Canis lupus familiaris: one gene and its partners. The protein of the gene in region 3 purifies or fractionates together with the protein of the main gene of each other region. This does not show direct contact. Links are inferred from orthologs where the notes say so. Each region holds a gene or a part of one and is shown on either strand. Other genes may lie near its edges.

Evidence for each region.
Region 1: the proteins of CD84 (region 3) and SH2D1B purify together in Homo sapiens (affinity purification with western blotting; 3 studies listed by BioGRID and IntAct, with this or other methods). This does not show direct contact. The link is inferred for Canis lupus familiaris from reciprocal best matches to the Homo sapiens genes CD84 and SH2D1B.
Region 2: the proteins of CD84 (region 3) and SH2D1A purify together in Homo sapiens (affinity purification with western blotting; 4 studies listed by BioGRID and IntAct, with this or other methods). This does not show direct contact. The link is inferred for Canis lupus familiaris from reciprocal best matches to the Homo sapiens genes CD84 and SH2D1A.

What each region holds. Positions count from the first base shown.
Region 1 is NC_049259.1:21,004,330-21,008,650, reverse strand, and holds the start of SH2D1B (SH2 domain-containing protein 1B), read right to left. Parts: upstream 2,715-4,321; 5' UTR 2,594-2,714; coding exon 2,430-2,593; intron 1-2,429. UniProt on the Homo sapiens protein: Cytoplasmic adapter regulating receptors of the signaling lymphocytic activation molecule (SLAM) family such as CD84, SLAMF1, LY9 and CD244. In SLAM signaling seems to cooperate with SH2D1A/SAP.
Region 2 is NC_049260.1:96,500,540-96,504,811, reverse strand, and holds the start of SH2D1A (SH2 domain-containing protein 1A), read right to left. Parts: upstream 3,081-4,272; 5' UTR 2,884-3,080; coding exon 2,747-2,883; intron 1-2,746.
Region 3 is NC_049259.1:22,540,606-22,544,826, reverse strand, and holds part of CD84 (SLAM family member 5), read right to left. Parts: intron 3,397-4,221; coding exon 3,049-3,396; intron 1,501-3,048; exon of another isoform or gene 1,257-1,500; intron 1-1,256. UniProt on the Homo sapiens protein: Self-ligand receptor of the signaling lymphocytic activation molecule (SLAM) family.

The DNA of each region.
Region 1 (4,321 bases), about 1.5 Mb from region 3:
TTTTTTTTGAAGTTTCTATTTACTTAAGTATCTCTGCACCCAACATGGAGCTCAAACTGATGACCTCAAGATCAAGAATCACACGCTCCTCCAGCTGAGTCAGCCAGGAGCCTCAGTACCAAACACTCAATTACTGTAGAAATCAGTCATTTTACAATGTTTTTAAATATTTGCTAGAGCTAGTTCCTCCCTTTTCTTAAGATTTTATTTTTAAGTAGTCTCCACACCCACAACCCCCGAGATCAAGAGTCAGATGTTCCCCTGACTAAGCCAGCCAGGTGCCTCTAGTCCCCTTTTTTAAATAAAAAACTTTTTTGGCTATTCTAGCAAGTTTCCTGCATTCCACATCCCACCTGAATGCATTTTATGATTCTTGAAGAAAACTTTAAAAATTCTGTTGATTTTTTTTTACTGGAAACATACCAGATTTATAGATTAATTATGGTAAGCTGATATGCTTCTAAATTGAGTCTCTGATTTGATGTACATCTTCTAGTGAATTCCTCAGTAGATTCTGAAGTTTTCTCAGACAGATCTTCCACCTTCCACATTTCACATCACATTTAACCCTGGGTATTATTATTATTATTTTATTTTTATTTTTATTTTTACTAATGTAAATTACCTGTTTTATCATATTTTCTTCCTGGTTACTTTTTTTTTCTTCCTGGTTACTTTTATTTTTTTTTCTAGCTATTTTTTTTTCTTAATTAAGAAGCTATGATTTTGATTTCAATTTTATAAGCAGATACTGTTATTGAATTTTCTTAAATTTGCTTTTTAGGGTTTTTTCAATTAAATCTTAGATTTCACAGGGATGAAGTCATGTCAACTGCAAATAATAATAATTTTGTGTCTTTCTTTTCAATTTTACGTTGATTTCCTTTGGCTAATAACACTTGCCCATATCTCTCAGAAAATGCTCCATAGTAGTGTTGGTAATGAGTGTCATTGGCTCATTCATTATTTTAGCAGCAAATATTAAGAAATTAAGATAATTAGATATTAATTAGATAATATTTAATTAATCTTGCATCACTAAGAATATGTAAGTACATGTGTGCATGTGTATGTGTGTGTATTAAGGGATGAATGTTGAATTTTATCTAATACCTTTTAAGCACATTTGAGTGAGTTATGCAGTTTGTCAACTTTGATCTACTAATATGTAATTAAGCTACTAATTTACCCAATGTGGAACCGTCCTTGACTTCTTGGAATGGACCAAACTTGAACTTAGTGTATTTTCTTCCTTAATGTGTTACTGGCTCCTGTTTTGTTAGCAGTTTATTGAAAATGGATCTTAATTGAAATTGGTCTATAGTTTTCTTTTGTGTCCGTGTCCTTAGGAAAAAAAAATATTTTACCTTCCTAAATAGAAACTAGGAGGAAAAACAAAAAAACAGTAAACAGAAGAGAAACAACTCAAGCTAAAAATGGGTGAAGAAGGTGACTGTGCAATTCTCAAAAGAGGAATTACCAGTGGCTAAAAAATACGTGTAAACTTTCTCTTCATCCCTGAGAGTGAGAATTCAAACTGCTAACCCTCTTAAGGCTACCTTTCTTTTACCTGCATCCTTGGTATCATATAAGGAAAAAAAAAGAGATCTCTGCTATTTCGTCAGTATTAAATCTCTTTTGTCCTCACACTCAGAAACACTAATGCATATGCGTAGACACATTTGGGTTTTTATTCCTCTAGTTGCTAGAAGAAAAATTTCAGTGATCTCTCTAAACAGAACATTTTAAGATAGTAGGTTCCCATGAATACCTGTCCAGGATTGTTTCCTTAACGGGACTAACAAGCTCCTTCAGCAGGCGAGCTACTAGAATTTCATGCTGAACTCTTTGGAAATGCCAGGAGAATTTTTTTAATATGAGCAACTTGGTTGAGAAATCAGGGTCTCTGATTCTTCACCTAGAAAATGCTCATGCTGGCCTTGATAGGCTATAGGAAGGACGAAAGGATATGATGCATGCTGAGGCTCTGTACCAACCTTAACAAAATTTGAAATCGTATTTTAAGTATCCCAAGTGGAGCCCGCAGAAAAATGTGAACACTCAAGTCTCTCAGATTAAAATTTCATAAAGGACATCTAGCCTTTTCCAGAGCAAATAAGCCATCCTCTATACACCTTCCCTGTATCCACCTCTCCTCCAGGTCTCCGCAGCCCTTCCCTTCACTGCCACCCCCACCCCTGCTGCTGCAGAGGGGCTGCTGGGGTGGCATTTGCACCAGGGAGAGAAGGGCAGGTGGAGGACCTGGGACAGACACTCTCCTTGCAGGCTCTTTAAGCACTGCCCACCTTGTTCACGTTCTGCTCATTTGGGCCACAAGGGCAGAGTGAAATGCAATTTCTTTGGTATTTGGCTGTATCAGCACCGCATTCAGGGTAAGGTTCTGAGGTGTGAAAGATAAAACTACTCACGAGACGCAGAGGCACAGAACTCCTGGCAAAGACTCGCTGTCCCTTAGCAGGAAGTTGCCATCTATCCCATCCTTGAGCAGCAGGGTCTCACAGTCTTTCTTGGACAGAGGGCCATGGTAATAGGGCAGATCCGTGGGGAGCCTTCGGATATCCCTGTAATCCATGCCCAAGCCCCGGGTCAGCTCCAAGGATGGAACTGGAGGAAGGGGCCTCACGGGGTCTGGAGGCGATTCTTCCGCCAGCTGGTAGGAGTGAGACGAGGCGGCTCTGCAGGACTCAAAACAGTTTCACAAGATTCAGGAAATGAGAGGGGTGGGGTGATGAAGTGACCACACACTTCAGCCTTAAGTGACCGTAGTGTGACTCAGAAGTATGTGAAAGCAGGTTGAGTACAGTCTACTCGGTGATGTTTCATGTCTGGGGCTGCGGTGCTGAAGCTGAGCTCCCTAGAAGTGGGTTGCAACCCTGTATAACACCCTAGATCACCCATTTTCACCCTCTCTGGCTGCCGATGTTCCTTTCAGGGAGCACGCCGCTACCTTTTGCTGTGACAGATGCCTATTTCCTGCTGAAGCTGCCTATGATAATGCTAGGCTAGGATCGTAACAGGTGCTCAAAAAGTGTTCAGACGCTGAATGAGCCCAGGTACGTCCAGATGTAATGGAACAGTTGAGTAGGATGTGCACGGGTCAAATGCATGAAAAATGGAAGATGTCAGTGGGAATGGAAAGCAATTGAACACGGTGGGGGGGGGACAGCCCGTCCCTGGTTGAGCCTCCTAGCCATTGATGAAGAAAGGCTGCTGTGGACATTTTCCAGCATTATGCTTTCTGGGGAAGGAGCTGGTGCAGGTGGGAGGGACATCTGAGTAGGCACAATTAGTTCAGGGATGCATCTCTAGGTGGAAGAAAAGAATATAGTAACCTTGGTTGACTATCCTTGAGACTTTGAAACTTCCATTTTGGAGGACCACAGTGATGTGAAGACCAGGAAGAAAGACCAAGAAAAGTTTATCCAGCAGAGACACTGAGCCCTCTTTAGACAGGCTGGTATTGATGAGAAACCCTTTTTTCTTTCTTCTTTCCTCCCTTCCTTCCTCCCTCCCTTCCTTCCTTCCTTCCTTCCTTCCTTCCTTCCTTCCTTCCTTCCTTCCTTCCTTCCTTCCTTCCTCCCTTCCTTCCTTCTTTTCTTTCTGAGCCTTTTCTACCTTGATTAGATGATATACTTGGGAAAGGGGCCTTCTGTCATCTGAAGGTCAGAGTTAGCCCTAAGAGTAATTTTCTTAAGATTTATTTATTTGAGAAAGAGAGAGAGAGAAAGAGCATGTGCAGAAAGTGCAGAGGGAGAGGGAGAGAGAATCCCAAGCAGATACCACACTGAGGGAGGAGCCAACGCAGGGCTCCATCTCATGACCCTGAGATCACAACCTGAGCTGAACCAAGAGTCAGATGCTTAACCAACAGATGCAACCTACGTGCCCCACCTCTTACAAAAGACTAATTTCTAAGGCCTTTTCCCCCTCAGCTTTATTGAGGGATAATTGACATATAACATTGTGTGAGTTTAGGGTGTACAATGCATTGCTTTGATACATTTATACGTTGCAAAATGATTACCACCACACCACTACCAACACCTCCATCTTGTCCCGTAAATACCATTTCCTTTTTGTGGTGAGAACACTTAATATCCACTCTCTTAACAACTTTCAATTATACAATATAGTATTATTAACCGTAATCACCATGCTGTACATTAGATTCCCTAGAACTTATTCATCTTGTAACTGGAAGTTTATACCCTTTGAACAACATCTCCTTGTTTCCTCTAAGGCCTTTCTGAGCAACCAAACTGTCTACTTATTATTAATTAAGTAATTAATTAATTTCAGA
Region 2 (4,272 bases), on a different chromosome or scaffold from region 3:
CCACTTGGGAAAAAAATAACGTAAGCAAATCATAAAGATCTGAGCCCAAGACTAGTATCAAAAAGACAATAAGTAACAAGTGTCAGCAAGGATGTGGAGAAAAGGGAACCCTCTTGCACTTTTGGTAGGACTGTAAATTGGTGCAACAACTATGGAAAACAGTGTGGAGGGATCCCTGGATAGCTCAGTGGTTTAGAGCCTGCCTTCGGCTCAGGGCATGATCCTGGAGTCCCGGGATCGAGTCCCTACATCAGGCTCTCTGCATGGAGCCTGCTTCTCCCTCTGCCTGTGTCTCTGTCTCTCTCTTTGTCTGTGTCTCTCATGAATAAATAAAGTCTTTTAAAAAAAAAACAATGTGGAGGTTCCTTAAAAAAGTTGGAATAGAAATACCATGATCCAGTAATTCTACTACTGGGCATTGACACCAAGAAAACAAAAACACTAACTCAAAAAAATACATGCACCCTATGTTTATTGCACTATTATTTACAATAGCCAAGATATGGAAGCAATCCAAGTGTCCGTCAACAGATGAATGGAGGGATCCCTGGGTGGCTCAGTGGTTTAGGGCCTGCCTTCAGCTCAGGATGTGATCCTGGAGTCCTGGGATCAAGTCCCGCATCAGGCTCCCTGCAAGGAGCCTACTTCTCCCTCTGCCTGTGTTTCTGCCTCCCTCTCTCTGTGTCTCTCATGAATAAATAAATAAAAATCTTTAAAAACAAAAACAAAAAAACACAAGTTATTTTTAAAAAACAGATGAATGGATAAAGAAGAGGTGGTATAATATATAGAAAGGAATATTACTCAGCCATAAAAATGAAATCCTGCCATTTGCAATGACATGGGTGAAGCTAGAGACTAGTGAAATAAGTCAGTCAGAGAAAGACAAATACCATATGATATCATATCTTATGATTTCACTTACATGCAGAATCTAAAAAAGAAAATAAACAAACATACTCTTAAATACAGAGAGAGAACAAACTGGTGGTTGCCAGAGGGGAGAGGGATGGTGAGGGGATGGGCAAAATAGGTGAAGGGAATTAAGAGGTCCAAATTTCTAGTACCTTCTCACACTTCAATTAAAACAAGCTCAGCAATTTAGAAGCTTGGTTATTGACACAGGTTCAATCTGTACCCCCGCCGCCCCACCTCACCCCACTCCTGGTTATAAAATAAATAAGTCACAAAGATGAAGGGTATAACCTAGGGGATATAATCAACAACACTGTAATAACTTTGTATGGTGACAAATGGTGACTACACTTGCCGTGGTGAGCATTTTGTAGTGTGTAGAACTGTCAAATCACTATGCTGTACACTGGAAACTAATATAACGCTGTATGACAACTGTACTGCAAAAGGAAAAAAAAGATCCGAGCCCAAGAGAGTCAAGTGCTTCCACATGTTCTCTTGAAGTCTTTATAATAAATGTACTTAGCAAGGCCTGAGAGTTGCCACAAACTTGGCCTGACCATGTTAAAAAAATAAATAAACAAAATAAACGAAAATCATCTAATAACAGCCTCAGCATGATCTTTTTTCACGGACCCAAAAAGTACTTCACAATCTTGCAGTGTATCATTAGGTATCAAAATTACTACCAAGCATTTTCCTTCATTTTGTTTCTGACTAGAACCGACTACACAGCACAGGTGTTTCACATGTGACACAAAGTGATCAAGCTAGGTCCTTCCTTGGAAATGTGCCATGAGTACTGAAAGAACTCAACTGGAGAAAAATACAATAATAATGATAATAGCTTACATTTACTGGACATTTATGATGTGTCAAGTCCAGTGTTAAATTCTTTACCTGCATTTGATCCTCGCCATCCTATGAGGTAGGTCGTATTATTATACTCATTTTATGGACAAGAAAACTGAAGGACTGAGAGTTCAACTTGCCAAGGTCACAAGCCTGCCATCAGACTAGCACAGGATTAGGTCTCAGATCTCCCTGACTCGGAGCCCTTGAGGCAAAGATGAAGGTACATCTGATTTAAAATGGGTGTTAGACTAAGGCATGCCTAGGCAAGCGGCAAAGCTGAATCATAACAAGGGTGTTTTCCCTCCATGCCCTTTACCACTACTGTCAGTCCTAGCTTTTTATCAAGAAGGGTCCTACCTCTGAAACTCTCTGCCCCCACACACAGCTTCTCTCAAAGAAGCGAAGTAAGCAGATGCCAAGAGGCAGTTTCACTTACAAATACCCCGATTGGCACCCCGACCTAACCAGAATTGCACTCCTAAAGTCACGGATTCCGTTTCTCAGTCTTCTTCCTCTCCCAGAATGTGATGGTTTCCTTTGGGAGGACACCTCCAATTCCATTTAAAGGGATCTGGAGAGAGGTCTTTCCTTTCCTCAGGAGCTGGTGGCCCCAGTTTTGGCCAGTCCACCATGCCAAGGCTCCACCTAGCTGGCCTCGACTAAAGGTCAAAACTGGAAGTTGGGAGCCTGGATCTTTCTCAGAGCAAAGGTAGATTCTAGGCTGCGTTTCCCCACCCCAAAGGGCATTCTCTGCAGCTGCCACAAAAGACCCAGGGAGGCCCTTCTGGAGAGTGAAGGCCCTGGGAGTGAAAGCCCCATGAGGGGCCTCAAAGCACGACCCCCTAAGCTGGACCGTGGGAAGGCCTTGGCGCCGTCACATGAGCCGTGGAGGAGGCCTCAACGCCTCACATGAGCCTGCACCCCCGGCCGGTGCCCTCATGGGGCCTGGAGCCTGCGGCCACCGCGACATACTCACAGCACACACAGGCAGTACACGCCAGGGACGCTCTCGCTGTCTCTCAGCAAATAGCTGCCATCCAGCCCCGTGGCAAGCAGGAGCTTCTCCCCGGTCTCCCGGCTGATTTTGCCATGGTACACGGCTACCGCGTCCATGGCCTGGTGGACTCTTGGGCCGCTGAGGCGTGGGACAGTGGAGGGCAGATGCCACTGCTGCTGCAACCGGGCCCGGAGTCAGCCACCTGACTCCCAGTTCAGCCAGATGTGCAGAAAAAGAGAGAGGAGCACCCGAACCCGAACAACAGGATGTTGTCTCTCTGCCTTAAAACCTCCTTCTCACACTTCAATTAAAACCAGCTCAGCAATTTAGAAGCTTGGTTATTGCCACAAGGTTCAATCCCCCTCCCCGCCCTACCCTACCCCACCCTACACACAGGGTTCGGAAGGAGAAGGGAGGTCAATTGGAAGAATGTCCTGGCAAGATATGGACTGTACTACCAGGGCAGACTCTGGCACACAGACAGGAATGCTTGCTAATGCTTCCACTCTTACAGTTTTCCCAGGGGCCACCAGAGATGACTTAGCTTAACTAAGTTCCCAAAAGGGTTGATGATAGAGGCAAGGTGTACATGGCCTTCTTGTGGGGCAGAAACATGCTGACAGAGAATGAAAGAACCTAAAGCTCTGAGACCAAAACACAGAAACTACCAGAACTATCAGTGTGCAGTCATTCCTGAGCACAGCCAGAGGCTCCTACACAATCAGAAGTAGTCAGTGAAAAACCAACATGGGGCAAGTCTCCTTTTCTACTCTTCCTAGTCATCTTGAGCAATCTTGATCCTGAGTAAACACTGATTTTTCCTACTTTCTTGGCCAAGATCCCAGAGTGCTGATTGACGAACAAAAATCAGTCTATGTGTGAAGACGTTCCATTTTTTTTTTATTTGATGAGCTTTCGATGAGAGAAAGCATCATTTCATTGGTGCTTTGTCTTTTTTTTTTTTTAAATTTTTATTTATTTATGATAGTCACACACAGAGAGAGAGAGAGAGGCAGAGACATAGGCAGAGGGAGAAGCAGGCTCCGTGCACCGGGAGCCCGATGTGGGATTCGATCCAGGGTCTCCCGGATCGCCCGCCCTGGGCCAAAGGCAGGCGCCAAACCGCTGCACCACCCAGGGATCCCGGTGCTTTGTCTTTATGTGGACTTGTTTATGCCCTTTGATGTACAGGACCTACCTTTCAGCATTTGGGGCATAAAAGTTGCTTTAAATCACATCACAAGCGTCAATAATTTTATCCTCTGTCGTTAATAGAGTGTTTTTCCTCCAGTTGATGCTAAACTATCATTAATTTTTTAAAGCCTTTCAATTTTTATTTTCTTCTCTGAAATAAAACATTGCTTCCATTTTAAAATGTGCTGTTAAGTAATATTTCCCCAAAACTTCCCCCTTTTTCACTGGAATAAGACTTTAATGCTTGAAGCTGGATGGTCTTCTACATTTTTCTTTTCAATTATGTAAAATACTTGTAAAACTGAAATTTA
Region 3 (4,221 bases):
CAAAAGGTAAACTGTCCAAGTTGTAGGCTAGAAAGGGTTATGGAAGAACAATTATATTTAGGATGGAGGGAGAGCTATCTGAGGCAGGCAGAAGGAAGGGGAAGATCTTCTCTCTACCAGCAGATAAGAAAAAAGGGCCCATTCAGACTTGGTAAATTTAGTTCAGCCTTGACCAGGCTGCTGTGCTGGGCTTTGTTCCTCCTACCAAAGCCATGTGGGAAGGGTGCAGAAGGAACCAGCATGTGGCTTTCTAGTTCATGGGGTATTTTTAAAGTTGTCCGTGCCTCTGAGGAAGTGGCATACGGTAAGGAAGAAGCTGTACATGTTTTCCATTCCAGCCTCACCAGAAACCCTGGTCCTACAAGTCTCGTAGAGGGATCTATTCCAGACCAGAATTAATGAGGACTTGTGAGAAAAAAAATTTTTTTCAAAGAAGTTTGGTGTCACCTTGAGGAGCTCCACAGCAAAATATGAGCCAACGTGTGTGTGCGTGCGTGCATGCGTGCAGGTGTGTGCAGGTGTGTGCACGCACACATTTCTTTAGAAACTTGATTTACTAGAATGTTCAAGTCTCAGCTTGATATTTACTGATTTTTTAGAGAAATTCTTTTTTTGCTGGGCATTGAAGTGGGGGATAGTTCCTATTAATTCCTATTAAGAATAGGATCCCATCTCATTTTCTCAGCAGGAACAGGGATGTTACCTGCATCAGGCTGCTGAGCAGAGAAGGGCGGGGCAGGGCTGAGCGGGGAAGCCACTGGACACCTGGGTCCAACCAGCCTCCGCTGCTCCCAGAACGGGGATGCAAACAGCTTCGCTGAGGTTTGGCTCCAACAGTTATGACACAAGGATAATTGTCTCCTGCTGGGGTTGTTCGTTGTGAAGACTAACTGAGGTATTGGGTTTACAGAACACTCTAACACCCATCCATCCATCCATCCGTCTATCACCTATCTATCCATCTATCATCGATCATCTATCTGGCCACATTAATTATCTACGGGAAAGACAAAAGAAGCCAGCAACAAGGACTGTCCCTGAGAAGGGGGAGTTGCGATGTCTTTTACTCGGTGCATGTATTGCCTAAGCATGTGTGATCTTTCTATTTTCTTAAATTAGGTGCTAGGATGACAGAAACATGGAGTTCAACAAATGTCAGTTCCCTTCTCTCTCTCTCTCTCTGTCTTTTTTTTTTTTTTTAAGATTTTATTTATTTATTCATGAGAGACACAGAGAGAGGCAGAGACACAGGCAGAGGGAGAAGCAGGCTCCATGCAGGGAGCCCGACGTGGGACTTGATTCCAAGTCCCCAGGACCATGCCCTGGGCGGAAGGCAGACGCCCAACCACTGAGCCATCCAGGGATCCCCTCCCTTCTCACTATCTTCTCCACTAACTACCCAAAAGGTACAGATTTTGTCATGTGGGAAATCCGGCCTTCTCTGAGACTTCCCCGTGGTCCGCTCTAACTGCAGACGGTATAACACCTCCCAGAAATTGAGTGAGTACAACTGAACATATAAAGAGATGAGAGCAAGGGCGCCTGGGGGGCTGAGTCAGTTAAGCATCTGACTCTTGATTTCCACTCAGGTCATGATCTCGAGGTCCTGGGACTGAGCCCGGCTTGGGGCTCTGGGCTCAGTGGGGACTCTGCTTCTCCCTCTCTCCCTCCCCTTCTGCCCCTCCACCCACTCACATACACTCTGTGTCTCTCTCAAATTAGTAATACATCTTTTAAAAAGTGGTTAAATTGTTAAATGCTGTGTTATGTAAAAATAAATAAATGTTGTGTTACGTATATTCTATCACAATAATATATATTTTTTAAGATTTTATTTATTTACTTGAAAGAGAGAATGAGCAAGCAAGAGAGAGCATGAGCGGAGGAAAGGGCACAAGGAGAGGGAGAAGCAGACTTCCTGCTGAGCAGGGAGCCCAACGCAGGGCTCCATCCCAGGACCCCAGGATCATGCAAGACCTGAGCTGAAGGCAGATGCTTAACCAACTAAGCCACCCAGGCGCCCCTCAATAAAAACATTTTTTAAAGAACAAAAAGGAAAATAGATTTACCATGTTTTCATTCTTGGGTATTTATCTTGGAGGAACAAAAACTTATTTTATGCTGAAACTTGTACGTGAATGTGCATAGCAGCTTTATTTATACTAGCCCTGAACTGGAAACAACTAAAATATCCCTTGATCGGTGAGTGGTTAAACAGACCAGTACATCTGTACCGTGGAATACTATCCAGCAATAAAAAGATACGAACTACTGATACTTGCAATAATTGGGATGACTCTCAAATAAATTATGCTGCGTGAAAAAAGCCGATCTCAAAAGCACGCATATTGCTTGAGTGCATGTACGCGGCCTTTGTGAAATAACGTACTGCTGGGTATGAAGGAGGGATTAACGTCTTCTAGGGGTTGAGGAGGACATGGGTGGCGAGGAATGGCTGAGGGCATCTTGCTGCAATGGTTCAGATCAGGATTTTGATTGCAGTAGTGGTTACAGTAGGGCACACATGTTAATAAACTGTACACACTACACTTCTACGCACATAAATGAGCACCCAGACAGCTGATGACCCCTGAATAAGCTCCAGGTACCCCAATGTCAACTTCCAGGTTTTGGTATCGAACTACAGTTACGTAAGATGTTACCGCCGGCGGAGGCTGGGTGAAGTGGACGCAGCACCTCCCGGCATGGCTCTTCACACCTCTCTGTGCATCCACACTTATTTTAAAATAAGGGTTTTTCTAGAGAAACTCTCCATATGCTATCTCACTTGATCCCCACTATGGGAAGTGAATAATATGATTATTCACATTTTATTGAAAAGAAAAACCAGGCCCACGGGAGAACCTGCTGATTGAAGATTACATGGCTAAAAACAAGCAAAATCACCTCCTCCTTGTGGGTATTGATGTATTTATAGAAGTATTTATAAGTACGGAAAGGTTTAGGGAAGCCAATAAAGAAATCAAGGTGTTCTATAGAGAGCAAATTTGCAAAACAAGCCAAGCCCTTTATCCTCCCACAACTTACGGAAGACTTGAAGGTTGTAGCGCCTGGTGGTGGTGACCATCCCTTCAAGGATCTTTGTATTTATGTCGGCTTTGTAGATGCCTGAGTCTTCCATCCTCAGATTGCTGATCTCCAGGTTGTAGTTCTGACGTGAGACATTTATTCGGTCGTTGTAATTTTGGTGGGTCACAGTCACTTTGGGTGCTGTTTCTGAGTCTCCCGGTGTTACAAAAGCAACGGACGTTTCAGAGTTCCAAACAATGTTGATGACTTGCTGTGATTCTTGGATATTTAAGGGAAAAGTAACCGACTCCCCCAGAGTCCCAATGACCGTGAGGATGTCTGTGTCACCTCTGGCTGCTTCCAGACCTGGGGACATAAATGAAAACCATAGCCTTTCATGGTTGCACCTTTTAGAGTTTCCTGTCTCCCCAAGCTTGAGCTTCCCTGAAGAGCTGCCCCAGATGCAGCTCATCCAGGTTCTGGAGGGGTTTTTTTGGTTTTGTTTTTGGATTTTTTTGGTATTCTACTCTACACATAATATGTTATGATGGCTAAATTTCTAAAGGATTATCATTCAAAAATGAAGTTTCCAGTGAATTTCAAGGGAACTGTTTCATTAAAACCATTTTATCTAGACTTATAGACTGAAAGGTAAGGGATTAGAGGGAAGAAGACCATAAACCTCCAGGAGGTTGGAGAATTAAATGTGGTTTTTTTCCCAAGATCATATTGTCAAGGGATGGAAGAGCTGGGACAAGAGCCTGGCTGCTGTGGTCTTTGCAAAAAGAAAGCTACATTTATACCTTTATTCTTGGGAGATACAGGCAGAGTGTGTTAGAGGCTCTGGAAAAAAAAAATATTTCTCAAGTTGGTAATTTGGAGGTCTTTTTTGTTCACTACTCTATCTCCAGCCTCTAGATGAATACATGACACGTAGTGGGTGCTTAGTAAATATTTGGGGAATGGATTAATAAATGGAATTCACTTATGTGTTGCCTGGAAACTCTTAGAACAACTTCTGAAGTAAGCAAAATTCATTTATTCATTCATACATTTTATAAATGAATGCATGGGTTTATTCAAGGTCAGCTCTGTCTCAAATACTATGGCAGGTAATTAGTAATTAAATTTATTTATTTTTTTTAAGATTTTATTTATTTATGACAGACACACAGAGAGAGAGAGAGGCAA